Pelodiscus sinensis: one gene and its partners. The protein of the gene in region 1 purifies or fractionates together with the protein of each later gene. This does not show direct contact. Links are inferred from orthologs where the notes say so. Each region holds a gene or a part of one and is shown in the gene's direction. Other genes may lie near its edges. The genes, in order: AURKA, ARFGAP1, MTMR3 and PPP6R2.

Region 1 (7,979 bases):
TGCATATATTTTTACTGTGATTTTACAGTTTTGAGGGGGAGGTTGCACAAACTTATTCTTTTGGATCAAATGACTAAGAGACTTATATGATAGGTTGGCATCAAAACTTTAGTTTCCCCTGCCTTTCTTAGATCGGCTTGAAACTGTGCGTCTCCTGGGCAGTAATTGGGGCAGTATTAAGCAGTTCACAAGATACCACCCCTCATCGTCCCTCATCCCTCTTTTATTAATATTCATGTAAGGATGTTTGATCATAGACAGAGATCTTCACACCAGTCTCTCAAATGCTTGACAGCTATCTCAACACAGTGCCTGGTACCCACTATCCTTTTCTTTAATTTTCCTGTACTACACACCACTCTTTGAAGTACTTAATGTCATACCACATGGATTATACTGAGCCTGTGTACAGAAAGGCTAACTGGAAATTACCTCTACTTCATCCCCACCCCACCCCACGACTAAAGTCTTGAATGGCTCATGGAGGACTATTATGATGACCAAACATAAGCCACAGCCTCATGGCAAATCTAACCCACCAGAGAAATCTGAAATAAAAGCAATAGGCGCAATTTGCTCCAATCTGACTCTGTCAAAAGGGAGCTTTGATTCCGTGGAAATGTAATCTGAGTATAGCAGAACAGTCTGTAGGTGTGGATTATTTTTTAAAGAAAAAAAAATACACATGCGATTACTCCCAGGGAAACATGAGAGGGTAGGAGAGTAGATGGGAATAAGAGCAGAGAGTTTGAGTTAGATCAAAGGAGAAGGGATAAATGGGTCTGGTTGGGAAGGACAGGGTTTGAGAAGCTTAGGTGAGGAGGAAGAAAGGTCCATGGAAGCTATAGGGGGCTGGAAGAATACTCCTTTCCCATGTACAAGCAAAAAATCTTAAAGGCCTCCAAGCCCATCTAGAGAGGTATCAATTGCCCTCTTCCCCTCACCCTTAGAATCTGTAGCTCCCCCTCCTGGTGAGCTGGAAACTGCGGGTCCCAGCTCCCACCAGTGGTGTGTCTGTCCCTGTGTCTATATTAGTATCTATATGGTTAGCCCCCACTGCCCAGATGTATTTCCCTGATGAGAGCCAAGCTCTAGAAGAGGTTGGTTGACATAAGATGGGTTGGAAGGTCTCACCTCATCTCCCTATTCCCTTCTCCCATAAGCTAGAAGATTATTATTTTAAAATGCTTATTTTTGTAGTCATTAAGCAGTGTTAATGGGGTGCTATTGTCAATTAGCTACAGCAAGGAAAGAAGGTTCCTGATAGTGAAGGATAAAACAGTAACAAGACATATCTGTCCTCATCCTTACTGTTGCACAAGATTCTGATAAAGTGTGCATCTACTACCTAACACAAAACCATGTGTGTGCATGCGCTGATTCCAAGCATTCATTAAATAAAGTAAACCATACTAAACATTGAGACTAAGAAAAAATGAAATCTGCTTATTAAGTCAGCTATTTGCTACTCATTTTAAAGTTAAGATTCTTTGTTCACTTAGAAACTGGAAAAATCTACTGTGTGACTTCTGGAAAACAAAGTTGTGGAACACAAGATCCTATTGGATGGAAACAACAGTTGGGCCACTCATCCCAAAAGTATTTAATGTCAAATTCTGATTACTTCTTAATTGTGGCAAGTTTTCTATTTTAAAAGTTTATGTTCCAAATATATTTCTATAAGCTAATAAAGACATCACTGATGTGAAAACTACACAAGAAATCTAAATTAGGCATAGCTTTGTTACATATTCCTAGTGAAGTCAGAGTATATGGTAAAGTAAACATGAAGAGTGGAATGTTAGATCACATTTACTCCAGTACATTAAAATAGGTCACAAGTATGGTACCCTAATGAAAGAAACTGAGTTCTTCTGTATGAATTCTGAATATTGCGTTTAATTAGTGAAAAATGAAAAACATGATAGAATCCAAAATAACACTGTAATAAGTAGGATAGAGTTAAATCTGCAAGCATCAAACAGTTTAAGGCAAGCAGATGAGGGTACCAACTATTATTTAAATATGTCCCCCAAAATATTTGTAAGTCATTAATACAGTTCTTGAAATAAAAAGTAACATTAATCAATCTACTTTTATGTACAGTTTTTGTAATTAGGAAATCATTTGATTAAATTGTATTGATTTTGCAGAGTACAAAAGCCTATTGCTGGAACCTTATCATATGCAAGAAGGAAAATTAAGATTGCATAATGTTAGAAACACAAAATTGTATTAGAAATACACACCATACGTTTGAGCAGGAAAGTAAATAGAAAATTGTTCATTGCACAAGAACAGAAGTTATGGCCCAGTATCTAGACAGTTGCACATAGAACAGATGGAATAACTTGGATAAAGATCAGAATTGTGGTAATAATTCTACATCAACCAATACTTGAACTGCAGCAAATAGTGGTATATTTACCAGAAAGTTAAAAATCACAGCAGACATTTGTGAAATATTTTACAATTCTGAATTAATTGAAATTATATTTGGCACAATGTTTAGTGTCATTTTTTCCATTTATTATATTATATTTCAAAGGCACAGTGTGACTCCTGCAAGAGGTGGGCAGGTGCCCTCTGTGTTCCACTACAAACACCCTAAGCAGTAAAAAGAAAGAGTATATAAACTTTGTGCAATTATAGTTGTGATATTTACAAAGTGGATATACTGTATAATTTTAAAATAGATTTTTTTTACAGTTATACAGTCAAAATACAAATGATTAAGTGTTCAATTTTAATGTACATTTAGATAAAGTCACAAAAATAATTCTGTTTCTAAAAATGCTGCCATGCAAAAGGCAGAAGTAAGCAATTCTGGTGACATATTATGTTGATTTGTAAACAATTCTGGTTACATATGATAGATGGGAGCACTCCCATCACAACTTTTTTCTGTGGACCAGAGAATGGGAAGAATTAGAGGTAGCACACTGTGATGGGAGTGCTCCCCTCAGTCATAATATGCTACTTTGGACGAGAAGGTGGAGAAGTATAGAGGGAGCCACAGTGCAATAACAGAATACCTAGATGGCAGTAAGTGGTATCCGCAGTAAACTGTACTATGAACAAGGGAGTACATGCTGAACAACCAAGGGTCCACTATCACCTGCTGGGTGTCTTAACCCATGGGCATCACAAAAATGTGGGCATATACAGACCCCTAGCAGCATGGAAAGGCAGGCTCTAGTCCTGATCTGGAAGCACAGGGAATTCTAACAACAGAAGTTTAGTCCAGAAGAATACAACTAATTTATTTCCAGTGGTAGGAAACGTGGGATGTAATAATCAAGGCATGGTACGCTAAGGAATGATAAAGGAGCAGAGATCAATGGTGATTTCTGGTCAGACATTAGAAAGGGATTAAAGAGCCTAGTAGGATCTGTAGTTGAAATTCAGAACTCCTTGAGTTCAATTCCTATTTTGATGGAGTGAGAGCAGCTTGATCTCAGGAGACTGGACAGGAGAACTGCTACGTTTTATTGGGTCTAGACTAGAAAGCCTAGGGATACTGCATGACATCGCCAATGTGCCACCCACATCCCAAGCCTTGCAGGAAGCCAGGCCTCTAAGATGACTGCAGAATTTAGTCGACAATAGGATGGCACTTTCAGACAAGGCACTTCAGGGGGCATCAGCTGAGGGCCTATCCCAAAAGAACAGCTCCCACCCCACCCCACCCCACAGGCGGTCCAACTCACCTCAGCCTCTAGAAAAGGCAGCCGCAGTGGCCGTGGCTCAGGAGGTAGGGGGCCCACGTTATTCAGGCCTCGGGGAAGCAGGCGTCTTTCACAGGCGGAGGGAAGGCGACGGCCTGACAGCCTCCTCACACCTGGCCTCGCCGCCATCGATCACTCGTCAGCGCCACACACCGAGACCACAATCACGCTTGTCCTCACGAGCGCGGGGGCAAGGGGAGCTGCCTTGGAGCACACGCCTCCAAAGGCCTCACGTTGTCCTCAGGCCGGATCGCACAATGGATCGAGGGCCCCTTGACAGCCCCGGTCCTAGGGGAGCCGCCTCACCGCTAAGTACAACGACACTGCCCAACGGCCCGCTGGCGTCGGTGCTCGAGCGCCCACGGCCCCGCCGGTGCGACACGATGGCTCCGCGTCTCCTTCGCGTTTGCGCTTCACAGCCCCCTGGGCCCCGTCACTGGCCGCACGTCACCGCTGGCGCGACACGCTGCCCAGTGACCCCCTGACGTCCCCGCGCGACGGCCACGGATCCCACGTCCCCGGCCACGGGTGCGACACGCTCGTAAGGCAACAGCCGCCCCTCTCCCCAGAGCAGGGGGTCTAAGCACCGTCTAGCGCAGCCTTCCCTGTCTCCACCCTCAGCCGCGCCGCGCACGCTCTCTGCGCCGGGCCGTAATGGCCGGCCAGGAGCCACTGATTGGCTACGCTTCAACCGCGCCGCCCGCCGATTGGTTCCGAAGCGTGCCTCTGGTCGCCGAGCGAGCCTGTCCCCACGTCACGGGCACGGCTCGAGCGCAGGCGTGCCCACGGCCTGCCGCGCCTTGCAGTCCCTAGGGTGGGTTTAACGCGACGTGCGTGCTTTACGCAGCAGTTGCCGCTCGCTTCTTCCGCTAGTTTCGTAGATGGAGGCGCCCGTTACGGAGTTTACTTTACACAATCACCGCGTGCTCGGTCTTTACGCAAATCGCGTCTCTCCAGCCCAGCTCCTGTCCACGCAGTTACTAGCAGCGGATTTGGACTTGCAGTTTTCCCGCGCTAGGGTTTATTTTGGGGGAGGGTGGAAGTTGCCAAGTTTGGTGTGTGTGGGGGTTGTCTTTTTAAAATGGTTGCTTCCAACTGACCCTCAGCGAGGGAAGCGTGGCGACCATTTTGAAAAGAAGCTCCACCCCCGCGCGGGCGTGAGCTCGCAAGCACGTCGCTTCCACAAAGATTTTTCCCGCCCTTCAAGTTAGCCAATGGCCGCGGCCCTGGTCACGTGGGATGGGGAGGCCAATCATGTATCTGAATTTTAAAAATAGCAGATTGGAGTAACAGGCCGCTTTGTGTTCACGTGGCTGAGCGAGACCAGTCGGGGGCCTCCGCGGGCGGGCACCTTAAACAAAAAAAAAACCCAAATCTCCATCAGCCGATCGTTTAATTATCTGTTGTACGGGCTATTCACCGCTACTACGCGGTGTGTGCGGGGGGAGAGCTAAGTTAGTTACAGGCGGTAAAGTGCTGAGCAGAAGCCGGATCCCGCCCTGCCCAGGGGGTGACTGGAGACTACACGCTTCATCCGTGGTGCAGCAGCACTGCCAGGGGCGAGCAGCGTTTAGTGTCCGGCAACGCTGCGCGGCGAGGGAGGTGAGACTGGGGAGCAGAGGCGGGGCGCTGGTCGGGCCAATGGAGAGCGGCGGCGGTTTAAAGGGTATCGCTAGGAGGGCGGTTTGAATTCAAACTGCTCTGACGGCGGTGACGGTGAGGAGACCTCGGGCGCTGGGGATGGGGTCGCCTCGGGGGCTGTAGTGTAGGGACGGAGGGGAACGGGGCTTCCTGGGGGCTGTACGATTGCGGCCGCGTTCGGGGGCTTCTCGAGTGGGGGGGGAGTGAGTTGGGGGGGTTGCAGCGGGGGGGGGCTTCTCAGATGGGGAGAGGGTGAGTTTATGGAGGGGTTGCAGCGGGGGGGTCAGTTTATGGAGGGGGTGCAGCGGGGGGGGGGGTCAGTTTATGGAGGGGGTGCAGCGAGGGAGGGTTTCCCAGGCGGGGAGTTTCCTGCAGGTGGGCGAACGTTGCAGCAGAAGGGGAATTGTGAGGCCTGTGCAGTTGCCTTTGAGGCAGTTTGTGAGCAGGAGCTGCGGGGAGGTGACGCCTTGTAATGGGGGAGAGGGTTGTCCGAGGAGCTGGATTTGAGGGGCAGGATCCAGGGACGGGGGGTTGTACGAGGAGGAAGAGCAGCTGAAATGGACACGGGGTTCCTAGACTCGGATTTTTCTGGCGGCTGGGAACCATCATCATCTACTCTCCCGGTGGTAACGAGAGGCGATTGAGCAGGACCGGATGTGGGAGACTACCAGTAGCGTGAGTGTGAAAACTGGATGTGGTGGTGTGGATGAGGATAGCAGAACGTAAGGGGGTGGGGGGCATGAGGAAGAAGTGTAGGGGGTGACAAGAAGGGTGCTCTGTTTATAAAAATTTCCATTTAATAATGTCTCTGCAATTAAATGTTCTCTATTTAGGTAACATGGAGAAAAATGGTAAAGAGAACCACAATGGGCTTCCTGGTCACAGTGTTAAGGTAAAGAAGTCTTGTACACTTGCGAGGCAAACACATTTTATTTGGTATGATCAGACAAAGATTCTACAAATTATCTGAGATAATTATCCAACTCTTGTATTGAAGCATTATACTCTGACATGGAATATTCACCAAGCTGCTTTGTCAGTAGCTCACTATTGTGAATACAACTTGTAAAGCTTCTATATATAGATTGCTTTCACATGTCGTAGGTGTTAAAACGTTTTCTTGTGGGGTGGCAGCTTAATCCATTCTGGGATGTATTGGTGGGAATGTTCCAAACAAGACACAAGATCTACATGTTTTGTTAGTCTTTAAAGTGCTGTTACACTATTTAAAAAAAAAATTTCAAGACACGAGATGTAATTCTTCCACCCCACTCAACATTGATAAGATCTGGCTGAAGTATTGTGTTCAGTTCTGAGCACCATACTACAATAAAAAGGGCTTCTTTTTAGTCTAGAGCAGTGGTTTTCAGACTACCAGTTGCAATCCAGTATTGGGCCACTGAATGTCAGGCACTGGGTCCCCTTGCTGTAGGATGACTAGTGGGGGTGGGAGGGGAACTAAAGCTGGCTTCCTGCCTGTCCTGGTACTGCACTGTGCCCTGGAAGCAGCCATCAGCAGATCTGGCTCCTAGGCAGAGGACCACTAGGTTATGAATACTGCCCCCCACCAAAAACACTGGCTCTGCACTTCCATTGACCAAGAGCTCAGGGTGGGGCAATGTTGTCTGTGGGCAAGAGCAGTATGCTTGCCTGCCTAGGAGCCGGGCCTGTGCCGGCATCTTCTGGGTGCGGTGTGATGTGCAGTTCCAGGACAGGCAAGAAGCCTGCCTTAGCACCCCCACTGTGGCTGCTTGCTGACTAGGAGCTGTCATAGGTAACCCTGTGCCCCTTCCTCCAAACCCAGCTCACTTCTGTACCCCAAATCCTTGGCCCCACGTAGGAGCTGGCACTTTAGTCAAACTTTGTTGGGTTACAAGCATCAATCATTTTCTTCAACTGGGTCACAAGAAAAAGTTTTTAAAAATCACTGGTCTAGAGAAGAGAGGGAATATAAGCATTTAAGTGCATGAAAGGTTGTTAGAATGAGGAGGATAAAATTGTTCTCCTTATCCACTGAGGACAGGATAAGAAGTAGTAGATTTAAATTGAAGCAAGGGAGATTTTAGGTTAGATATTAGGATAAACTTCCTAACTGTAAGAGTAGATGAATTCTGTAATAAATTGCTTATTGGAGGTTGTGGAATTTGTCAGAGGTTTTTAAGAATAGGATAGACAAATACCTGTAAGGGTGGTCTAGATCAGTGGATTTAAAACGTTTTTTTTCTTGTGTTGCCCCTAGGGATGTTAGTGATTAATTGAATAGTCATGTAACCGCATCAAATTTTAACAGTCCCTGGGGGCAGGACTGGCAGCCAGTGCGCTCCTGGCCCCACTCCCAGGGAGCCCCCTGCCACCCTGCTATTGGGGGTCTGAGCTACCTCTGGACAGAGGCTATGCCAGCATCCCTAGAAGCAGTTTCCCCTTTCCCATTGATGCTGCTGCCTCTGATAGGCCAGCTCCCACCTGCCCACCATCCTGTGGCAAGTGGCGTGTGAGAGTCAATCCGTGTGGGAAGCTGGCTTAAAATCCCGCTTCCCATGTATATAGGCTTCCACTTGCCCCCTCACGCTGCCCACTGCTGCTTCTCTGAGAGGCAGCAGCACTGGGGTC
Region 2 (7,369 bases), about 8.6 Mb from region 1:
CCCACTCCTGCAAAGACTTACACAAATGAGTAACCCAGGGAAAATAATTAAGACTGCTGGAATGTCTAGATTTAACTGTGTTAAGTCTTTGCAGGATTAGGACCAAAAGTGCTTACTATAATTAACTATAGCATTAAGTGTCAATAACAAGTACAGCACTTTTGAAAACACAGACAAAACCACTCTAATTAATATATTTATTTTGGGAGAAGTCATCGTGGAATGCTTTCTAAGATGCCTTCTTCCCAGAAGCAGGCCAGCTTAGTGTAAACGACCTTATAGTTAACCACTCGTGGAGTAGGAGTGTTTTATTTCTAAGAAGTGCCATTAGGAAATCAGAGGGTGCAGTGTAGAGCAAAAAGCTCCAGGTCTTATCACATTTCCCACCAGTGGCACTTGGAGGTTATTGAAGAGATACAGAAAGCTAAAAATGTGCCAGGTTTCGTTGTTAGGATTTTATTATTATTGCTACATAAGTTATAATTAATTACAATGCAGAAACTGAATGATAACATTTATTGCAAATCTCCCCATCTGATCAGTCCTTGGATTTACTACATTGAGGCAATGTCTACACTACAAGTTTTTGTGACAGAGAGTATGCTAATGATGGATTAATTAGCATGAGTCGCGATGTCATTAGCATATTTTCTGCCAATGCTTTTTGCGCAAAGGTTATTTTTGCGCAAAAATAAGCAGTGTAGCCACTTCCATTTTGTGCAAAAAAAACCCCCTTTTGCGCAAAATCCTTATGCCTCTCCGGAATCTTGCACAAAAGGGTTTTTTGCGCAAAATGGAAGCAGCTACACTGCTTATTTTTGCGCAAAAACCCCTTGTGCGAAAAGCATTGGCAGAAAATTTGCTAATGACATTGCGACTCATGCTAATGAGTCGATCATTAGCATACTCTCTGCCGCAAAAACCTCGTAGTGTAGACAAAGCCTGAGTTACGTAAACATGTTAAAAAGAGGGACCACATACTCACTTGTTCCCTTTCAGTTTAAGCCAGTGGTCTCCAACCTTTTAAAGCATGAAATCACTTTTTGAATTTAAGTGCAATCCAAGATCTACCTCAAGCCTAAATACCCTTGTACAATACCCAAATACATATTTGAAGTCCAACTAGTAGCCAGTCAACCAAGAAAGATAGAATTTGACTTTTTTTTTCTGAGTCCTAGATGTTAATATTTAAAATGTTTGCTTACTCCCACACTACAGATATCTGTCTCCAATTTCAGAGATGGCAATGGGGTTATGTACCTGTCCCAGATTCGAGGAACAGAGCAATTCAAACTTGCTAGGGAACTGCATTGATTCATTTGTATGCTGTGTATGAGAGACATAGTGCTACATCTACACTACAAGTTTTTGCAGCAGAAAATATGCTAATAAGGGACTCATTAGCATAAGCCGTGATCTCATTTACATATTTTCTGCCAATCCATTTTTTTGCTAGGGGTTTTTGCACAAAAATAAACTGTGTGGATGTTTTCTTTTTGTGCAAAAACCCCTTTTTGTACAAGATCCTTATGCCTCAAAAAAAAGAGGTATACTGATCTTGCGTAAAAAAGGGTTTTTGTGCATGAAGGAAATGGCCACACTGCTTGTTTTTGCGCAAAAACCCCTAGCGAAAAAATGGATTGGCAGAAAAAATGCAAATTAGATCACGCTTTATGCTAATGAGTCCCTCATTCAGGACCGGATTAAGGGGGGGTTAGCCGGGCAGCTGCCCAGGACGCCAACCTATGGGGGGCGCCTGATGGCAGCTATAAGGGGCACCGCGCGGCGCCCCTTAGAGCTGCAATCAGGCACCACGTGCCCGATTGCAGCTGTAAGGTGCACAGTGCGCTGGGGGGCGGGACCGTGCATGTGCCGTGTGCCCGGGGTTTGAGCCGCGCATGTATCACGCGCCCGCTGCTGGAGGAGCAGGAATGGCTTGAGCCGGCCCTGCCCTCATTAGCATATTTTCTGCTGGAAAAACTCGTATAGACGTAGCCAGTGCTGGCTTTGTCTCATTACCACTGAATGAAAGGCCCTGATCCTGTAATCCTCACACAAGTACTTACTCCTATTTCTGATTTATTGTGTGAGTGAAGACTTCTTTCATGTTAGGAAGGGTTGCAATATTGCTACCACATGGTGCAAATGTAAGCATCTAGATCTATTTATTGTTCCATGCAATTCATAACTTATATCTTCTGTAAAAGAGCAAGCAATGCATTAATATGCTCCCACATTATTAGTGGCAATTTTGATTCAGTCAGCCAAGGCTGCCACTGGAAGATTATGCTGCCCAGACAGTGTTAGAATGTTCCTCTTTGGTATATTAACCAAGAATAGAGACAGTATTAATACCTCAGTGCTGCATCATTTGTGGCATATGAATAAATGTTGCACAACAGTGCTCCCTTGAGGCTGCAAGCATAAAGTATTGAATATGCAAAATAAACCTATCAGACACACTGCAGAATCAATGCTGATACCAACCACTGTGCCCTAAATCAATTATAGAAAAAGTATGATTGATACGCTAATTAGATTCTCATATAGTGTGTATATAATGGGAACCTCATTTCATATTAGTTCATATTACCAGAAAATAATGGTACTTATCAGAAGAAGTCACTTTGTCCTTAACTGGAAAAGCAAATTATACAGATAGGCTACGTCTACACTGGCCCCTTTTCCGGAAGGGGCATGTTAATTTCAGAGATCGCAATAGGGAAATCCGCAGGGGATTTAAATATCCCCCGCGGCATTTAAATAAAAATGTCCGCCGCTTTTTTCCGGCTTCAAAGTAGGAATAAGATCCTCCAGAAAAGGGCTTTTTTTCCGGAGGATCGGGGCCAGTGTAGACGCTCTTTTCCGGCTTTTCTAAAAGCTGGAAAAAAGCGGCGGACATTTTTATTTAAATGCCGCGGGGGATATTTAAATCCCCCGCGGATTTCCCTATTGCGATCTCTGAAATTAACATGCCCCTTCCGGAAAAGGGGCCAATGTAGACGAGCCCGTAGAATTTACTTTGTTTCATTGCCCGCCTCCAATGTACACATATTTGGAGTCCATTATTTTCTCTTTAATGTAAGGCAAGGATTATGCATGTAGCCACCATTAATAGTAAAAAGAGTTATTCTTGTTAATCCCCCATATAACCATGGCAGGACAATAGACCATTTACTATCAAGGCTGGAACAGGTATAGCACTGAAAATGAGTAGCATATGGTCTCTGTGGCCGGGGTGGGGAACCTCAGGCCCAGAACCCCCCAGCAATGGGAAGCCTGCACTGGTGCTCCAGCCGCCTTGCTGCCTCACCACACAAAATCTACTAATCTGGGGTCCCTTAGGCTCTGGTGAGCAAGGGGGAATGTGCAGAATATCTTTCTCCTCTGTTGGGGGCCACATCAGTGGGGGCTCGTTTTTTGTTTTTCACTTGTGTGTGGCTCTGACTGATTTTTCTGTCCGTCAGTGGCCCCCATGCTACTGGTGCATCTACACTGCACCGCAGGTCGAAATGAGCTACGCAATTTGAGCGATGCAAGCTGCGTCTCTTAGGCTACGTCTAGACTGCAAGCCTCTTTCGAAAGAGGCTGTTTCGAAAGATACTTTCGAAAAAGCTTCTTTCGATAAAGAGCATCTAGACTACAATCAGTACTTCCGAAAAAGCAAACTGCTTTTTCGAAAGAGAGTACCCAGGTAGGCTGGATGCTCTCTTTCGAAAAAGCAGTTTGCCTTACATAGCACCTTTTTTTGAAAGAGCCCTTTCGAAAAAAGGCGTTCTTCCTCGTGAAATGAGGCGTACCGCCGTCGAAAGAAAAGCCGATTTCGAAAAGAGGCGTCCTTGACTGCAAACAGGCGTCTCTTTTTCGAAAGAGAGCATCCAGACATTGATTTTTAATTTCGAAAGAACGCGGCTGTAGTCTAGACGCAGGGGAAGTTTTTTCAAAAAAAGGCGACTTTGTTCGAAAAAACCCTGCAGTCGAGACACAGCCCAAGTGACGTGAATAGCTATTGGGGACCCCCCCCAGTGACGTGAATAGCTACTGGGGACCCCCCCTTGGGGACGTGAATAGCTATTGGGGACCCCCCCAGTGACGTGAATAGCTATTGGGGACCCCCCCAAGTAACGTCATTAGCTACTGGGGACCCCCCCTTGGGGACGTGAATAGCTATTGGGGACCCCCCCCCCGCAATAGCGCTGCAGTGCAGACAAACTCCCCAGGGGCGGAGTCTCTGGGCGGGCTCCTAGTGCGGAGGGGGGCGGGGCGAGTCCCGCTGAGGGCAGCGTCGGGCCCTGTCGTTGGCTCACTGGAGCCGCCGCGTCGGTCGCTCTCGGGCGTCCGACGGCCCCGCCCAGCTGCCGCGCAGGCCGCCGGGCCCGAGGGGGTTAACCCCTTCTCCCCGGCCCAGCATGCTTTGCGAACGTGCAACGTCGCCGGGTTCGGCGGCGGCTGCGCGCTGAGGAGCCGGGTGCGAGCAGGAGCCGGGGCCGCCGCAGCAGGTACCGAGCCGGCCCCTCCCCCCTCCGGCCCCGACTTCCCTCAGCGCCCCCCCCCCCCCCCGCGGGCTCCTCTGGGCCTTGACCGCCCCTCCCCCTGTCCTCGGGCCTGGTGGGGGGCTCCCCGGCGGGGCGAGACGGCAGCCGCTGCAACCCCCCCCCAGCCCCCCCGAGCCCTGGGTCGGTCGAGGCAGCCCCGGACGTGAGGTCCTTGCCGGCCGGTCTCACTGCCGCCGGGGCGTGTCCCTTCGCTGGGACCCGCCTGGCCCTTGGGAGCCCCCCCCGGACCAGCCATCCGTGCAGGGGGGGCCCGGATCAGCCCCTCCCCCCCCCCGACCAGCCATCCGTGCAGGGGGGGCCCGGATCAGCCCCTCCCCCCCCCCGACCAGCCATCCGTGCAGGGGGGGCCCGGATCAGCCCCTCCCCCCCCCCGACCAGCCATCCGTGCAGGGGGGGCCCGGATCAGCCCCTCCCCCCCCCCGACCAGCCATCCGTGCAGGGGGGGCCCGGATCAGCCCCTCCCCCCCCCCCCGACCAGCCATCCGTGCAGGGGGGGCCCGGATCAGCCCCCCCCCTCCCCGGACCAGCCATCCGTGCAGGGGGGGCCCGGATCAGCCCCCCCCCCTCCCCGGACCAGCCATCCGTGCAGGGGGGGCCCGGATCAGCCCCCCCCCCTCCCCGACCAGCCATCCGTGCAGGTGGGGCCCGGATCAGCCCCCCCCCCATGACCAGCCATCCGTGCAGGTGGGGCCCGGATCACCCCCCCGGTAGTTGCATTCCCCCCCCCCGCCCCCACTTGATGGTTTGATCTTGCCCTGGAAAGGCAGAAAGGTTAAAATCATGTGGTCCAAAAAAAAAAAAAAAGGCAGCCCTGGTCCAGTGAGACTCTCCCCTGCGCCTGTGAAGAGCCTTACTCTTCTGCTCCCCCCTCCCCGAAACCTCCTGGGGCGAAGCCTCCATCCTCATTACGAATCTGGCCACGTGCTGATACCGTCTTCAATGGGTTGGATCTGGGTGTACAGCAGGGGGCTCAAACTCAATTTACCTTCGGGCCAGGGCCTGTCCTTAAAGCCTCCTAGTGAGCCAGCGGGTACCCCTCTCTGACCGGGCCTGGGCGTGTGTGTTTGTCCATGTGTTCTTCACCCTCCCCCGTCTGCTGGCCCCTGCGCTCCCCTGTGTTTTCCCACCTGCTGCCCCAAGGCAATTTAAGAGCCCCCTTGGGGGAAGGGTAGCACCACCACTCTGAGCCACTGCTGTCAATTCCCTGTGGCTTGAGGGAGATATGCGAAGAGTTGTCCCATCATTAGGATGATTCGGGGTGGTCTTCCCAGGCCTTGCACTTTGGTGGGGTCCTGTGATGGTCACTCCAACCATTCTGTGGACAGGATGGTCCCCAATACTCAGGTTAGTCTGTGGGGCCTGAGTGGGCCAGTGTTGTCAGCGGTGGTTGGAGCCCCCCTCATTCACCATAGCAGTGCGAGCTGCGGAAAAGCAGAACTACACAGCAGCCTGCTCTGACTCCCATCTCCCAAGGCAGCCTGGGCTGGGGCTGAGGCATTCTACTTCTGGCCACTGTGGTGAAAAAGCAAACACACTAGCCTGGAAGATGATGGCAGAGAGAAATTTTAGTTTTATTATTTCTAATAGGGATGTTAAATATTGACTAATTGATTAGTCGATGCATTTTACATCGACTATTTGATTAGTCGATAGCGTGTCTCTGCCTTTGAAGTGTAGCAAAAGCCCTAGGGAGCCCAACTTCCAAACAAAATAACACATTTTAATTGTCTTTGCCAGTTTCCTCAGCTGAGTTCTGAAAGATGACCAGTATCTGTAAATGTGTATGTAAAAAACCAGCTCTTAGGGTATTACTATTGGTTGTGGCTTAACTCGTAGATCAGGGGTTTTCAAAGTTGGGTTGTGGGCCCATCCGCATAAGTTGCTGGCAGGCCACGAGATGTTTTGTTTTTTTTAGTGTCCATAAGCATGGAGCCTTGTAGCTCCCATTGACTTTTGCCGTTTCCAGTCAAGGGGAGCTGCGGAAAGCAGCAGCCCAACGCGCACAGCTCCCCGTGGCTGCAAATAGTGATCCAAAGCCAATGGGAGCTGCAAGGCTCTGTGCCTATGGATGCTAAGATAAACAAAATATCTCACAGCTCAGCAGCGACTTACCTGCGCAGGCCTGTGACCCAACTTTGAAAACTCATGCTTTTGCCTACCGCAGAACCCCATTTATCCAATCTAATTGGGACTGAGACCTGATTGGATAATCAGCAATCCAGATAAACTGAAGAATGGGAAAGTCTAATGCTGCAGTGCCAGGTAGTAGCCACAAGAAAGACTGCCCCCTTCTGGACCTTTGTGCACTGATTATCAGTACAGACAGCCAGATAATGGAAGGTCAGAGTTCTGTTATAGTTCTAGGTTGACTTTAATGACGTTGTGATGCTTGGAACAGATGAATCCATAATTGAAAAAACATTCACATAGGAAAATAAACACTGAGGGAGTCTTGATCACTAGGGATACTGGAGGGGGAGATAGTCTGAACACAGAACTGGGAGCCAGGGACTTTAGAATTCTAATGGTGCTTCAATAGGTCTCTCACTAGCCCTGGTTAATTCACTTAACCTTTTTCTGCCTCGCTTTCCCCATCTGTACAATGGATGTACTTGTCTATCTCTCAGAACTGCTGTGAACATGCATGACTTCTATAGCACTATAAAGTTGGTGTGATCATGGCAGTCACAACTTTCACTGCAATGCTTTCTCTTGAGTAATGGACTCTCACTCTGGAGCTATGTTATCTGAATCAGGAACTGAAGTTCTTTCTGCACTTGGGTCCTCTGCTTTTTGCCAGCCAGGTGGAGCAT
Region 3 (7,444 bases), on another chromosome or scaffold:
GCCACCATGGCCTTCTTCTCTCCCCTCACTTTTGCCTTTGCCTCCTGTATTGTATAATCACGTTCATCTTGAACAACCTCTTATTAGTTCTCCCATCAGTTACATCCTCTTCTGCTTTGACCTTGTTTGTCACTGTTCCACGTTCTCCCCCTACCTCCGTGCCCGAGTTCCTTGTCCCAAAGAGTGATTTGAAGACCTTTCCTCCTCCGTAAGGGTGCATAAGTCGCACTGCAATAGGAAAAAACCTTTTCAGTTAGTTGGAATCTTCCCCCACCTCCAATCTGTCTTCCAGGCCTTTTTATAACCTTGTCAATAATCAACGTGTGTGTGTGGCTTTTCTGTGGCCTGTGTACCCTGGCCCCTCCGCCCCCCCACCTCGCAGGCAGGGGCTGCTCCTGCACATAAAAAGGTTGGAGACAACTGCTTGAAACGTGTGAGGTGGCTCTGGATCTAGGAGCGTGCCCATGACATCTGTGTTCATTGTGGGAATTGGCAAAGCTGTTGCGACTCGGTGCGTCTATGCTGCACCGATTTTCCGGGAAAACGACCATTATTCTGGGAAAAACAATCCTAGCATCCACACAGCAATTGCGTTTTTTTGAAAGAAAATTGAAATAACGGAGGGCTTTTTTCGACGTTGGTAAACCTCATTCTACGCGGAATAAAGCCTCTTCCAAAAAAGCTTTTTCGGAAAAGGATGTTTGTGGACGCTCTACTGCTGCTCTGTCAAAATAGCTCCTCCCCAGTGCCTCCTGGGGCTCTAAATCGAGAGAGCGCATCCAATATAGGGGAGCCCACCTCGGACTAATTTTGAGGCATCCCTGTAGTATGGATGCTCTCTTTTGAAATATGCTATTCTGGAAGCTCTCTTGCAGTGTAGATACACAGCTCTTGGGGTACGTCTATACTACATGCCTCCGTCGACGGAGACATGTAGATTAGTTTATTTGAAAAAGGGAAATGAAGCGTAGATTTAAATAATCACCGCTTTATTTAAACGTAAATGGTTGCCGCGCTGAGCCGACAAACAGCTGATCAGCAGATTGGGTAGTCTGGACGCACCGCGGTCGACAAGGAAGCCTTTGTCGATCGGTGCAGGTAAACCTGGTTTCACGAGGCATACCTGCGCTGATCAACAAAGGCTTCTTTGTCGACAGCGGCGCGTCCAGACTGCCCCGATCTGCCGACAAACATCTGATCGGCAGAGCGGGGCAGCCATTTAAATTTAAATGAAGCCGCGATTATTTAAATCGCGGCTTCATTTCCCTCTGCCGATCTGTCTAATCTACATGCCTCCGTTGATGGAGGCATGTAGTCTAGACACCCCCTTATAGTGTAGATGTACCCTCATTGACAGGGCTTGACAAACTGCAGTGAAGTCTACTCGCCAGCCCCACACTGCACATGTGCAAGACCCGCATTGCGCATGCACGCGCCGCCGGTAAATGGGGCGACTGGCTGAAATCTACTCGCCACGGGCGAGTTGATTAACTAATTTGTCGAGCCCTGCTCATTGAAACTTAGAGAGGTGAGGCACCGCATACCTCTACCAGCCTGGTTGTAAATTTATTTGGGGGCATTTATCTGATCAAGTGTAAGATTGAGACCTCTTCATTCACACACAGTAACAAATCCGTGTGGACAGCTAATAATATTAGCTCCGGTATAGTATGTCCAGCACATGCTGTTCCCTTTGGAATACGTTCAGTACCGTTACTCTGTTAATGAGCTGAGTGTCATCCGAATAACCTACTTGTATATCGAACAAGGAAAAGCAACCCTGGGCTAAATAAGGAGGACCCGAGACGACTCTCTTGAAAATCCATTGATGCAAAGACGAAGGTCACTGGGTTCAGCTGTACCCACTGTGTCCCAAAGGCGGCTTTGCTGAAAAGTTCTTCCCTGATTGGCGTCAGAAGGGGAAAATTATCCCAGCAACAGCAGGGTTTCTCAGCTGAACGGTAACTCTCCCAACAGAACAGAAGCCCTCGTTTTCTGTGTAGCTAACTAGGGTATGCAGGGCTGTTGTGCTCACTCTAGTACTTAGGCAAGAAATTTAACTTGACTCAACTGGTTGAACTTGTGTTTTTAAAATAGTTTGATTTACATCCCTCCCCCGGCCACATGTGAAGATAAACAGCACTACAGAAGGGAGCAGTCCATGTAATGACACATGCAAGCACTCTGAAATCTCTTGGCATGTTGGGTTTTTGTGTTTTAGTTTGATGGTGCAATGTAGGCCACATCTGGAGTATTGTGTCCAGTTCTGGGCCCCCCGCTACAAAAAGGATGTGGACGCATTGGCGAGGGGCCAGCGGAGGGCAACCAAAATGATTCGGGGGCTGGAGCACATGACCTACGAGGAGAGGCCGAGGGAGTTGGGTCTGTTTAGTCTGCAGAAGAGAAGAGTGAGGGGGGATTTGATAGCAGCCTTCAACTTCCTGAAGGGAGGTTCCAAAGAGGATGGAGAGAGGCAGTTCTCAGTAGTGACAGACGGCAGAACAAGGAGCAATGGTCTCAAGTTGTGGTGGGAGAGGTCCAGGTTGGATATTAGGAAAAACTATTTCACTAGGCGGGTGGTGAAGCACTGGAATGGGTTCCCTAGGGAAGTAGTGGAGTCTCCATCCCTAGAAGTGTTTAAGTCTCGGCTTGACCAAGCCCTGGCTGGGTTGATTTAGTTGGGATTGGTCCTGCCTAGAGCAGGGGGCTGGACTTGATGACCTTCTGAGGTCTCTTCCAGCTCTATGGTTCTATGATTCTAGGGTTTTTGTCATGACTCTAAGTCAGGCCTGGGCAAAATACGGCCCTCGGGCCGGGGCCGGCCCACCAAGTCACCGGATCTGGCCTGTGGACCCCACCCGTTGCTCAGAATTGGCTGTGGGCAGGTTTCACTTTAAAAACTGAAAGGAGCTGTTCCCGCCCCCAGCACAATCTCACTGGCCGGCTTCTAGCCAGAAACTGGCCAATGGGGAAATGCCTTTTTAATAACAGGCAGCCACGAAGCACAAGGGGGTTGTAGTTATTCGCAGAGCACGTGGCTGCAGCCTGTGTGGAGGCGGGGTAGGCAGGGACGCGGATTCAGAAAAGGGCTGCTGGCTGGTAAGTCTCCTGGCCAGATCTTCCCTCTGCCCCCCCATTCCACATACCCAAATCCTCTGCACCCATACCCCCTCTCATATCCAGCACCTCAATCCCCTGCCCCAGATCAGTCCCCTCCTGCCCTAGCTCACAGCCCAAACCCCTGTACCCCCTCCTGTACCTCAATTCCCTGCCCTAGCTCACAACCCTAACCCCTGTACTCCAATTCCTTGCCGTAGATCACAATCCAACCCCTGCTCCCCACTCCAGTGCCCTAGGTCTCACTTGCCTCCGTCACTCAAATTTGCTCCCTTTTCCACCTAACCTTCATCCGGCACCCCACACTCCCTCCATTAATATCATGGAAGAGTGTGGCCCTCAACCACTTTCCAAATTCTCGGAGTGGACCTCCCCTGCCCCCTTTCCAAAATGATTGCCCACCCCTGCTCTGAGCAAATAGCATATTTGTGGGAAGGTTCTGAATTTTCTCTGTCGCCACTGCTGTTCATACTGCTGGTGACAGCAAATTCAAGTCAATGGGTCATTATATTCTGGTTGGATACCCATTATAATTCAATTATCCCTTTTGTCTGTATTCAGTGAACCTTCTTTATTGGACTAACTCCCACAGGAAGATAATGCGCCTTTTCATTTTGGAGAGAGTCTTAGTAGCGTGTCTTTGGCGAGGGCAAGGTAAACATTTTGCCGGTCTGCCCACTGACGTTGCTTGTAGGTTTTGGTTTGTGGGTTATAGTTTTGGTACATGGGGCTGTGTTGTACAGTAGTTTATTTGTGTGGTGCTTCTCCCTCCCCCTTTCCCTTTTTGGATTGGAATCTTTATTGCTTGCATCGGAGTATGAAAGGATTATCACATGATTTCGGCATGTTTGTTTAGTTCACACAGTGCTGGAGAACTTTTTTTTCCAACAACATAATACATTCGAACTGGAGGAAAGAACTGACGCTGGGAAATATACTCCTCCGTTGAGTTAAGTTCTCCATGGTTCATGTTGCTTTGGGCTTCCCTTGTGTTTCAGATCTCTCCTTTTTGTAAAAAGCTGCATCCCATACAGCCGTGGTCACCAACCAGTAGATCGCGATCTACCGGTAGATCTCGGAGGCTCTAAGAGTAGCTCTTTAGCCCTCTCTGAACTGCGCGCCTGCGCAGTACATTTACATTAGTTTTCCCACTCACCGAGCAACAGCACAGGTGAGTAGCTGCGAGGAATGGTGGGAATTTTTTTTTAAAGTAGCAGTATAAGGATTGGGGATAGCAAGTGATGGAGAGGAGGAGAATAGAGAGGGAAGGGGCGGGGCGGTAGATCTTGGCTTGGTCTGTCATTTAAAAAGTGATTTTTGGGTGTAAAAAGGTTGGAGACCACTGCTTATACAACCACCTGTGATACTGAATTTCTTAGCATTGTGAAACAAGAGAAGGGCTTCCCCAGTAAAAACATCTGAACTGGAGTTGTGTGGGAAGTTAAATCTGGCTCCGTTCATATGCCACAAACTTCTAACGCTTCACGGTTCAACAAAATGTCCCTTTTCCAGGAAAACGAAGCAGACCTGCTGTTTAAAAAAGTAGTAAAGAAGTGTGATAAATATGATGCTGTTCTCAGTGACATTTTTCCAATCTGATTGCCATAAATAGGTTTGCGTAGATGTAACTGCATGAAAGTTGGGAAGCAAGTATGATGCATAATAGAAGAAACTCTGACTTAATTGTATTGGATCTAGTGTTCTTACTTAATTATGTTGGACCTGGAGGAACTCCCCACCTGCTATGGACAGGCGGCGGTAGGGGCTGCTCCGGCAGTTCCTGCTTGTGTTTGCATGACTGGAGAGGCAGTTTTTCGATGAGGTGTTGAGAAGGCTTACAGTAGAGAATTTTCCCCAGCTCATGGCCAATGTATGGACTGCAGAGGTTACTTTCGTCCACCCTTTCGCTCCATGCCCCGAAAAGGCACCATTCCAAACTCTGATCTTTGCTTACCATGTCATCGTGCTATTTGTAGTAGCAAGCTGATCCCGAAACGCCTCTTAAGCCTGGTTCGTTATATCGCTGTCTTTCTCCTCTCTGAACTTTGCCTTCAGGAAATGCTCAGGTTGATATTTTAAACCGAATGAAACTTGCCCGTGAAACTCCTAACCCTTTTATCTTCAAATAGCACATTCAGCAAAACAAGAGTCCCGTTGTAAAGGACTTCTGACTCTGCTCAGCCTGTTGATCTTTTATTTTTCGGTATCAGCAATTCTCAAACGCTGGATCGGGACATCAAAGTGGGTTATGACCATAGTTCCCACGACTGCGCAGCCGCCTAACAACTACCGTTGTGGGTTGACGCTAATGTCCCCTCTTAGCTGTGCAGCTGCCTAGTACTCCCTGTTGCAGGAATTAGGGCTGCGATTGCCAGGAGAGACACCTCTCTCCCCCAGCAATGGTATCTCCCTGCTGGGGGGTGTATCTCTCCTCTCCATGGTATAGTACTGCGTTGGACTGGCATCAGACCCCTTTCCCACAATGCCTGTTCTTACCTCTCTGGTCATCTGTTTGTGCTCTATTGCCCTGCTGTCAGATGACCAACCCTCAGACCTGTGCTTTTACGGTCTTTTTGAAATTTGAAAGTCCCCTTCCTGTTTGATCGGCAGTGCATGGTGTGTTCTCAGTGCATCTTCCCAGCTGGCCAGGCCTGCTTCATGAACCAGGAGATCCCCTACTTGCAGCCAGGCTGAGGTGCTGGACCTCATCAGCGTTTGGGGAGAGGAGGCCGTCCAGTCCCAGCTGCACGCCAGCTGTAGGGATTGATACCTCCGGGCACATGTCAAGATGCATGACTGAAAGGAGCCATGACCGAGATGCACTATAGAGCAAGCCCGAAGTGAAGGAATTGCGAAACGCCTACCGCAAAGAAGCTTGGTTCTGTGTGTTGCAGCTACCAGCACAGGGGCGGTCAGATGGTGAACAGAGTGTCGTTGCTTCTATTACTTCACGGTAATCTGCCTCACAGATCTTATTGAAAGTGTCATGCAGCTGCTGTGCCGTGAGTCTTCGCAAATTTGCTGGCCGAACAAATGTGGTCTTTTATCCCTGAAGGCTGCTATTAAGCTTATTAAGTTTATTACGCTTATTAAGTGTGCAGATGATCCCCAGCTGGGAGGGGTTGCAACTGCTTTGGAGGAGAGGGTTATAATTCAAACTGATCTGGACAAACTGGAGGAACGGTCGGAGGTAAACAGGATGAAGTTTAATAAGTACAAATGCAGAGTGTTCCACTTAGAAAGGAACAATCTGTTTCACACATAGGGAATGGGAATAGCGATAGAAATGTAGCCGTGTTAGTCTGGTGTAGCTGAAACAAAAAACAGGACTATGTAGCACTTTAAAGACTAACAAGATGGTTTAATAGGTGATGAGCTTTCGTGGGCCAGACCCACTTCCTCAGATCAAATAGTGGAAGAAAATTGTCACAATCATATATACCAAAGGATACAATTAAAAAAATGAACACACATAAAAAGGACAAATCAAATTTCAGAACAGAAGGGGATGGGGGGGGGAGGTAAATGTCCGTGAGCTAATGATATTAGAAGTGATAATTGGGGAAGCTATCTTTATAATGGGTAAGATAATTAGCGTCTTTATTCAAACTTGAGTGTAAAGTGTCGAATTTAAGCATGAATGACAGTTCAGAGGATTCTCTTTCAAGTGAAGTCTTAAAAGGCCTTTGAAGCAGGATGCAGGTAATCAAGTCGTTGAGACAATGTCCTTTCTGGTTGAAATGGCAAGAAACTGTTTTTTCTTTGTGATCCTGTCTAATATCTGTTTTGTGGGCATTGATCCTTTGGCGAAGTGTCTGAGACGTTTGTCCAATGTACATAGCAGACGGACACTTTCGGCACATGATTGCTTAAATTATATTTCTGGATGCTCAGGAATATGTGTTCTTGATCTTATAACTCACTTGGTTAGGTCCAATAATGGTATCAGCAGAGTGAATATGTGGACAAAAGTTGGCAACGGGGTTTGTTGCAAGGGAAGGTACCAGGGTTGGTATTACTGTGGTATGTCCTGTGGTTGTTGGTAAGAATCATCTTGAGGTTAGGTGGTTGTCTATAGGAGACTATGGGTCTGTCTCCCAGAGCCTCTCGGAGTTCAGTATCCTGTTCCAGTATACTTCCAGGGAATGGGAAGTGACTGTCTATGAAGGAGTCCTATAGAAAGGGATCCATAGGGGGGGGCAGAGGGGACCACAAGCTAAATATGAGTCAACAGTGTGACGTTTTTGCAAAAAAAGCCGACGTGATTCTGGGCTGCGTTAAAAGGAGTGTTGTGAGCAAGACAGAAGAAGTCATTCTTCCGCTTTGC
Region 4 (7,468 bases), on another chromosome or scaffold:
ACACCACTGTAATATGGAGCAGAATCTGGCCCAGTGACTAGAAACTGCATTAAAATCATTTAACAGATGTAGATATTGGGATAGAGAGTACGCTTATTAAGTTTGCAGATGATACCAAACTGGGTGGGGTTGCGACTTCTTTGGAGGATAGGGACATAATTCAAAATGACCTTAGCAGGTTAGAGAAATGGTCAGAGGTAAACAGGATGAGGTTTAATAAAGAGAAATGCAAAGTGCTCCACTTAGGAAGGAACAATCAGTTCCATACATACAAGATGGGAAGCGACTGTCTAGGAAGGAGCATGGCGGAAAGGGATCTAGGGGTCATAGTGGACCACAAGTTGAATATGAGTCAACAGTGTGATGCTGTTGCAAAAAAAGCAAATATGATTCTAGGTTGTATCAACAGGTGTGTTGTAAGCAAAACTCGTGAAGTCATTCTGCCGCTCTACTCTGCACTAGTTAGGCCTCAGCTGGAGTACTGTGTCCAGTTCTGGGCGCCACATTTCAAGAAAGATGTGGAGAAATTGGAAAGGGTACAGAGAAGAGCGACAAGAATGATTAAAGGTTTAGAGAACATGACCTATGAAGCCAGGCTTCATGAACTGGGCTTGTTTAGTTTGGAAAAAAGAAGATTAAGGGGGGACATGATAGCGGTTTTCAAATATCTAAAAGGGTGTCACAAGGAGGAAGGCGAAAATTTGTTCCTCTTGGTTTCTGAGGACAGGACAAGGAGTAATGGGCTTAAAGTGCAGCAGGGGAGGTTTAGATTGGACATTAGAAAAAAATTCCTAACTGTCAGGGTGGTCAAATATTGGAATAAATTGCCAAGGGAGGTGGTGGAATCTCCCTCTCTGGAGATATTTAAGGACAGGTTAGATAGACATCTGTCAGGGATGGTGTAGACAGAGCTTGGTCCTGCCTTGAGGGCGGGGGGCTGGACTCGATGACCTCTCGAGGTCCCTTCCAGTCCTTTTATTCTATGATTCTATGATTCTAACAGACTATTGTATTTGTCCAGATAGAGAGAAATCCCTTTACCAATACAAACTATATTTGGTGTCCTTTCCCTCCTATGTGTCTGTCCAAGATACTGATTGTTAAGCTTTAAATCTGAGCTTGACTGTTCGTCTGCCCTGTAATCTGAGTCTTGGAAGATGTAATTGTCAAGGGAGACATCTGGAGCTCACCCAGGATCTGTGCTGGCCTTGTGCCCATTATTGTTCCTCTTTGAAATGACAGTGCACATTTCTTTAGTATGTCTTCTGCCTATTGTTTGCTTCTCAGAGGTTCCTAGACCTATCACTACCATTCTTACTTAATCTTTTTGGCAAACACTTGCCCAGATAAAATGTATGTGTGGTGGTGACAGCTGTACGAATTTCCTTGATTCCTTGAAGGCATTTTATAGAAGGGGAAAACTATTTGGCTGAATTCGCTGGTCTTTTTGGTTCACATGGACTCCACTTTAATATTCTTAATCGGACTTCTCAAGCCCTTTCTCTACAAATAAACAGATTTAAATGATCTTAAATTCCTTTTAAATTTTTGCTTCATTTGTCTCCTCGGTAACTTAGCCTATTTAGTTGTCCAGGGAGAAATTCAGTGCCATAATACAATTTTTCTGCAATCTGAGATGCATGTGTATCTGAGATCCTAGACTCAACAAATTAAAGGTTGTATTGTAATATTGTATCGTCTGGGAAAACTTGTGACCTCATGGTTAAAGACTGCACCAGAAAGCATACACATGGTAACCGAGGCAGGCTTTGGCATTCAATCTTAACATTGATATTTCTTAACTTTTTGACGGGTTCTGATGATCTGAGGCTTGGCCCCGGAGTATTTCACTTGGTTGTTGTAGAGCTTTTACTTGGGCTTCCCAAGTGTTCTGGGCCTGTGACATTTAGGAATTCTGTGGCAGAGAGATGCAGAGAACTTCTGGTCTGCAGAGAAGGTAAGTAAGCTCCCAAACTCTAGACTAGAGGACGAGGCCTGCCAGAGTTCAGTTTTCCTGAGGTATCTAAGAACCACGGGTCCAGAGTTTTATTCCTATGAAGTTCCCAAATTCTGACCATATTTTTGCACTTAAGGTCCTGCAGAACTTAAGCGTATTTGGGGGCTGACCTCACCAAAGCTCTCACTAATCTCTCCTCAGATGGCAGTCATTCCATACCCCTAATATTTTTATGTTGCCCTTTTCTGAACTTTTTCCAATGCCGATGTATCTTTTTTGAGAGGAGGCGACCACATCGGTACGCGGTATTCAAGACGTGAGTGTTCCATAGATTAAAAGAGAGGCAATAAAATATTCACTGTCTTATTCTCTATCCCCTTCTTAATGATTCCCAGTATCCTGTTTAAAAGTCATCGAAGAGGCCCTGCCTTAAAGAGCTTACAGACTAACTCCAGGTCTACTGGAAACATTTGCAGGTGTAGTAACACCAATTAGGAATTGTGTGTGTGTGTGTGTGTGTGTGTGTGTGTGTGTAATAAGCCTATATTTGCAAAAGTCCTAGTGTGGATAGAGTTCTACTAGTAAAACCACCCTTATACTGTATACATTATACTACCAAAAACACTTTTTTGCCTGTATAAACTGTGCCTACATTAGGGGTGTATGCCGGTTTAGTGTTACTGGAAAAAATCTTTTCTCCTGAAGACAGGGTTGCCAGGTGTCCGGTTTTCACCCAGACTGTCCGTTATTTGGGTCCCCCGTCCGGTTAAAAAACCAGAAAATACTGGACATGTGAACTGTCCAGTATTTCCTGTTTCCCTCGGACAGAAGCCCGGCGGGGACAATTTTCCCCTGCAGTGTCTGGTGGGGGCCGGGGAGTTAGGAGCACAGGGCCATTTAAAGTCGTGGTGCCCCTTTTTTTTTTCTTAACAACTTTGGTTTCCCCCTTTTTTTTCTCAACGGAATTTTTCCTGGTGTTTTGTTTTGTTTTTTTGCGGGGAGGGGGGAGATGTTCGGTATTTTTTGTTAAACCATCTGGCAACCCTACCTGAAGATTTGGCCATCATCTCCAAACCTGCAAAGACTTGCATGTGAGTAACTTTATTTATGTGAGTAGCCCTTTAGACTTCCATGAAATAACACAAATGCTGAACATTAAGACTGAAAGTATTTGCAGGATGAAGGCCTAAATAAGACAGGCAAAGGGAAGACAAGACACACTGAGAGACTATGGGAAATGGTCCAATGTGACATTTTTCAAATTCCAAGTAATCATTTTCTTGTACCAGGCTGGCATGTAGAGGGCAGTTGAACTGATTTTTAAAAAGAGCTTCAGAGAACATCCTGGCAATTACAGGCGGGATGGGGGTGGATCAGGGCGGGAAAGAGCGGAGCAGGAGTGAGGCCTGGGGTAGAGGTGAGGGTTGTCCCAGCCCTCCTCCCTAAGGATGGTAGAAGAGAAATCATGGTTTTTTTGGGGGCTGAGGGGGCGCTGGTCAGTACCCAGCAACTGGTAGAAACTATGGTAAAAACAAAATGATCAGACCAATCAATAATGTGTTTTGTGGGGAAAGAGCCAATGTGGCTTTTCTAAGGGAAATCATGCCTCACTAATCTATTAGGATTCTTTAAGGGTGTTAACAAGCACATGGATACAGGGAGTCAATCAATATTTATACCAGGTCTTTCACCAAACTTAAGAACATAAGTACCCATAGTATAAGTAGCCATTCTCCCCCACGCCAAATGCCATTCCCACCCGCCACGGAACCTTCCCATCCTCCTCATGGAACCTTCCCATCTCCCTTCCCCATGCCCATGGAACCTTCCCCCTCCCGCCCATGGGACCTTCCCATCTCCCCTCCCCATGCCCATGGGACCTTCCCATCTCCCCTCCCCATGCCCATGGAACCTTCCCCCTCCCGCCCATGGGACCTTCCCATCTCCCTTCCCCATGCCCATGGAACCTTCCCCCTCCCGCCCATGGGACCTTCCCATCTCCCCTCCCCATGTCCATGGAACCTTCCCCCTCCCGCCCATGGGACCTTCCCATCTCCCCTCCCCATGCCCATGGAACCTTCCCCCTCCCGCCCATGGGACCTTCCCATCTCCCCTCCCCATGCCCATGGGACCTTCCCATCTCCCCTCCCATGGGACCTTCCCATCTCCCTTCCCCATGCCCATGGAACCTTCCCCCTCCCGCCCATGGGACCTTCCCAGCTCCCCTCCCCATGTCCATGGAACCTTCCCCCTCCCGCCCATGGGACCTTCCCATCTCCCCTCCCCATGCCCATGGAACCTTCCCCCTCCCGCCCATGGGACCTTCCCATCTCCCCTCCCCATATCCATGGAACCTTCCCCCACCCCATGGAACCGTCCCATCTCCCCTCCCCATGCCCATGGAACCTTCCCCCTGCTCCTACCCTGGAGCTGCCCAGCGGCTTCACGTGCCTGTCACTCCATTGGCCCCGCCCACTCCGCGCGGCAGGCCCGCCCCCTTCCCGGGTCTGGGCAGGCCGCTCCCGCCGCCATTTTGGAGCGAGCGAGCCTGAGGCGTCCGAGCCCTCAGCCCGGCGCCCGGTGACAGCGCGACCCGCCGCCGCCCCTCGCGCCTCTGCAGCCGGGGAGCGGCCGCGCCTCGGGCCGCGCGGGGAGGCCCCGAGCAGGTGAGAGCGCGGCCGAGCCCGGGGTCCCTGGGGACGGAGCCGCCGCGCGCCCGGCTCCCTGCCGGCAGCGCCCCCCAGCCCCCCCGGGCCCCCCGGGCCTGCCCCCCCGAACCTCCCGAGCTCCCTGCCGGCAGCGCCCCCCAGCCCCCCCGGGCCCCCCCCGGGCCTGCCCCCCCGAACCCCCCCGAGCTCCCTGCCGGCAGCGCCCCCCCGGGCCCCCCCGGGCCTGCCCCCCCCGAACCCCCCCGAGCTCCCTGCCGGCAGCGCCCCCGAGAGCCCCCCCCGGGCCCCGCCGAACCCCCCCCGAGCTCCCTGCCGGCAGCGCCCCCGAGAGCCCCCCCCACCCCCCCCCGAACCCCCGCGAGCTCCCTGCCGGCAGCGCCCCCCAGCCCCCCCGGGCCCCCCCCGGGCCTGCCCCCCCGAACCCCCCCGAGCTTCCTGCCGGCAGCGCCCCCCCGGGCCCCCCCGGGCCTGCCCCCCCGAACCCCCCCGAGCTCCCTGCCGGCAGCGCCCCCGAGAGCCCCCCCCCGGGCCCCGCCGAACCCCCCCCGAGCTCCCTGCCGGCAGCGCCCCCGAGAGCCCCCCCCCACCCCCCCCGAACCCCCGCGAGCTCCCTGCCGGCAGCGCCCCCCAGCCCCCCCGGGCCCCCCCCGGGCCTGCCCCCCCGAACCCCCCCGAGCTCCCTGCCGGCAGCGCCCCCCCGGGCCCCCCGGGCCCCCCCGGGCCTGCCCCCCCGAACCCCCCCGAGCTCCCTGCCGGCAGCGCCCCCGAGAGCCCCCCCGGGCCCGCCCCCCCGAACCCCCCCGAGCTCCCTGCCGGCAGCGCCCCCGAAAGTCCCCCCCGGGCCCCCCCGGGCCTGCCCCCCCGAACCCCCCCGAGCTCCCTGCCGGCAGCGCCCCCGAGAGTCCCCCCCGGGCCCCTCCGGGCCTGCCCCCCCGAACCCCCCCGAGCTCCCTGCCGGCAGCGCCCCCGAGAGCCCCCCCAAACCCCCCGGGCCTGATCCCCTCCCGAGAGCCCCCCGGTCCCGCCCCCATCGGGCCCCCCCGAGCTCCCTGCCGGCAGCGCCCCCGAGAGCCCCCCCAGCCCCCCGGGCCTGCCCCCCCGAACCCCCGAGAGCCCCCCCTGAGCTCCCTGCCAGCAGCGCCCCCGAGAGCCCCCCCAGCCCCCAGCCCCCCCGGGCCTGCCCCCCCGAACCCCCGAGAGCCCCCCCGGGTCCCCCCCCCGAGCTCCCTGCCGGCAGCGCCCCCGAGAGCCCCCCCCCGGGCTGGCCCCTCGAGCTTGACCCCCCCCGAGCCCGCCCCGAGCTCCCTGCCGGCAGCGCCCCCGAGAGTCCCCCCCGGGCCCCTCCGGGCCTGCCCCCCCGAACCCCCCCGAGCTCCCTGCCGGCAGCGCCCCCGAGAGCCCCCCCAAACCTCCCGGGCCTGATCCCCTCCCGAGAGCCCCCCGGTCCCGCCCCCATCGGGCCCCCCCGAGCTCCCTGCCGGCAGCGCCCCCGAGAGCCCCCCCAGCCCCCCGGGCCTGCCCCCCCGAACCCCCGAGAGCCCCCCCTGAGCTCCCTGCCAGCAGCGCCCCCGAGAGCCCCCCCAGCCCCCAGCCCCCCCGGGCCTGCCCCCCCGAACCCCCGAGAGCCCCCCCGGGTCCCCCCCCCGAGCTCCCTGCCGGCAGCGCCCCCGAGAGCCCCCCCCCGGGCTGGCCCCTCGAGCTTGACCCCCCCGAGCCCGCCCCGAGCTCCCTGCTGGCAGCACCCCCGAGAGCCTGCCTCCCCGAGTACCCCCCGGGCCTGCCCCCCCTGAGCTCCCTGCCCCGCCCAGCCCCCTGCCCCCCGACCCCCTCCGGGCCTGCCCCCCCGAACCTCCCGAGCTCCCTGCCAGCAGCGCCCCCGAGTCCCCCAGGAGCCTGCCCCCCGAGCCCCCCGAACTCCCTGAGCCCCCAGTGCCCCCCCGCGCTCCGAGCCCTCAGCGCCCCCGAGGCCTGCCCCCAAGCTGCGTGATCCACTGAGGGCCCCCTGAGCTGTCTGACCTCCCAACACTTCCCCAGCTGTCTGATCCCCCCCTCCAGTGCCCCCCTGAGCTGCCTGACCCCCCAGCACCCCGAGCTGTCTGCCCCCCTGTGCTCCTCCCCAGCGCCCCTGAGCTGTCTGACACTCCCAGCACCCCCCCAGTGCTCCCTGGAGCTGTCTGATGCCCCCCCCAGTGCCTCCCTGGAGCTGGCAGTGCCCCCCCATACCTCTCAGAGCTGTCTGACACCCCCTCCCAGTGCACCTGGAGCTTTTTGTGCCCCCTTAACTCCCAAAGCTGTTTGACCCTTCTCCCATTACCTGCCCCGGAGCTGTCTGAGCTCCCGGTGATGCCTCTAGCCCCCAGTGTGCCTGCCCTGTGAGCTCCCTTACCAGGTGTCTTCCTCCTTTGGGTGTGCCTATCACCATGGGCCTCCCCTGAGGTGACTAAGCCCTCCTCCCAGTTGAGGTGTCTACATCCCTGGATGGACCTGCTCCAAAGTGTGTGTTGTCCTCCCTCCCCTGGGAATCTGAGCCATCATGAGCTCTCCCCCATAGTGTCTGCCCTCTAGCCTCATGAAGCACGTGAGGCCCCCTTTATCCAATGTGCCTGCCCTCTTGAGCTCCCTCTCTCTGGATATATCTGAGCCCCCCATAGAGATGCCTGTGGATCTAGATGTGCTTCACTCTCCCAACATCCATGAGCCCTCTCCATGGAAACATCAGTCCCCCCCACCTCCTGCTTGCCTTCCTGTGGTACCCTGAGCTTGCCTGCCTCACCATGTACTCATCAGTGTGTCTGCTTCCTGAGTCTCCCCATGTACTCCCCAAGTTGGCTCCTTGTGAGAC

What was found.
Region 2: the proteins of AURKA (region 1) and ARFGAP1 purify together in Homo sapiens (affinity purification with mass spectrometry; 3 studies listed by BioGRID and IntAct, counting the BioPlex papers as one, with this or other methods). This does not show direct contact. The link is inferred for Pelodiscus sinensis from reciprocal best matches to the Homo sapiens genes AURKA and ARFGAP1.
Region 3: the proteins of AURKA (region 1) and MTMR3 purify together in Homo sapiens (affinity purification with mass spectrometry; 3 studies listed by BioGRID and IntAct, counting the BioPlex papers as one, with this or other methods). This does not show direct contact. The link is inferred for Pelodiscus sinensis from reciprocal best matches to the Homo sapiens genes AURKA and MTMR3.
Region 4: the proteins of AURKA (region 1) and PPP6R2 purify together in Homo sapiens (affinity purification with mass spectrometry; 4 studies listed by BioGRID and IntAct, counting the BioPlex papers as one, with this or other methods). This does not show direct contact. The link is inferred for Pelodiscus sinensis from reciprocal best matches to the Homo sapiens genes AURKA and PPP6R2.

Annotation. Positions count from the first base shown.
Region 1 is NC_134728.1:15,105,989-15,113,967, forward strand, and holds the start of AURKA (aurora kinase A), read left to right. Parts: upstream 1-4,970; 5' UTR 4,971-5,330; intron 5,331-5,357; exon of another isoform or gene 5,358-5,444; intron 5,445-5,741; exon of another isoform or gene 5,742-6,044; intron 6,045-6,202; 5' UTR 6,203-6,207; coding exon 6,208-6,261; intron 6,262-7,979. Other genes in the region: CSTF1 (cleavage stimulation factor subunit 1), read right to left, coding at 3,711-3,857. UniProt on the Homo sapiens protein: Mitotic serine/threonine kinase that contributes to the regulation of cell cycle progression.
Region 2 is NC_134728.1:6,522,985-6,530,353, reverse strand, and holds the start of ARFGAP1 (ADP-ribosylation factor GTPase-activating protein 1), read left to right. Parts: upstream 1-4,353; 5' UTR 4,354-4,499; intron 4,500-7,369. UniProt on the Homo sapiens protein: GTPase-activating protein (GAP) for the ADP ribosylation factor 1 (ARF1). Involved in membrane trafficking and /or vesicle transport.
Region 3 is NW_027465935.1:199,472-206,915, forward strand, and holds the start of MTMR3 (phosphatidylinositol-3,5-bisphosphate 3-phosphatase MTMR3), read left to right. Parts: upstream 1-4,442; 5' UTR 4,443-6,070; intron 6,071-7,444. UniProt on the Homo sapiens protein: Lipid phosphatase that specifically dephosphorylates the D-3 position of phosphatidylinositol 3-phosphate and phosphatidylinositol 3,5-bisphosphate, generating phosphatidylinositol and phosphatidylinositol 5-phosphate.
Region 4 is NC_134711.1:649,349-656,816, forward strand, and holds the start of PPP6R2 (serine/threonine-protein phosphatase 6 regulatory subunit 2), read left to right. Parts: upstream 1-4,466; 5' UTR 4,467-4,623; intron 4,624-7,468. UniProt on the Homo sapiens protein: Regulatory subunit of protein phosphatase 6 (PP6). May function as a scaffolding PP6 subunit. Involved in the PP6-mediated dephosphorylation of NFKBIE opposing its degradation in response to TNF-alpha.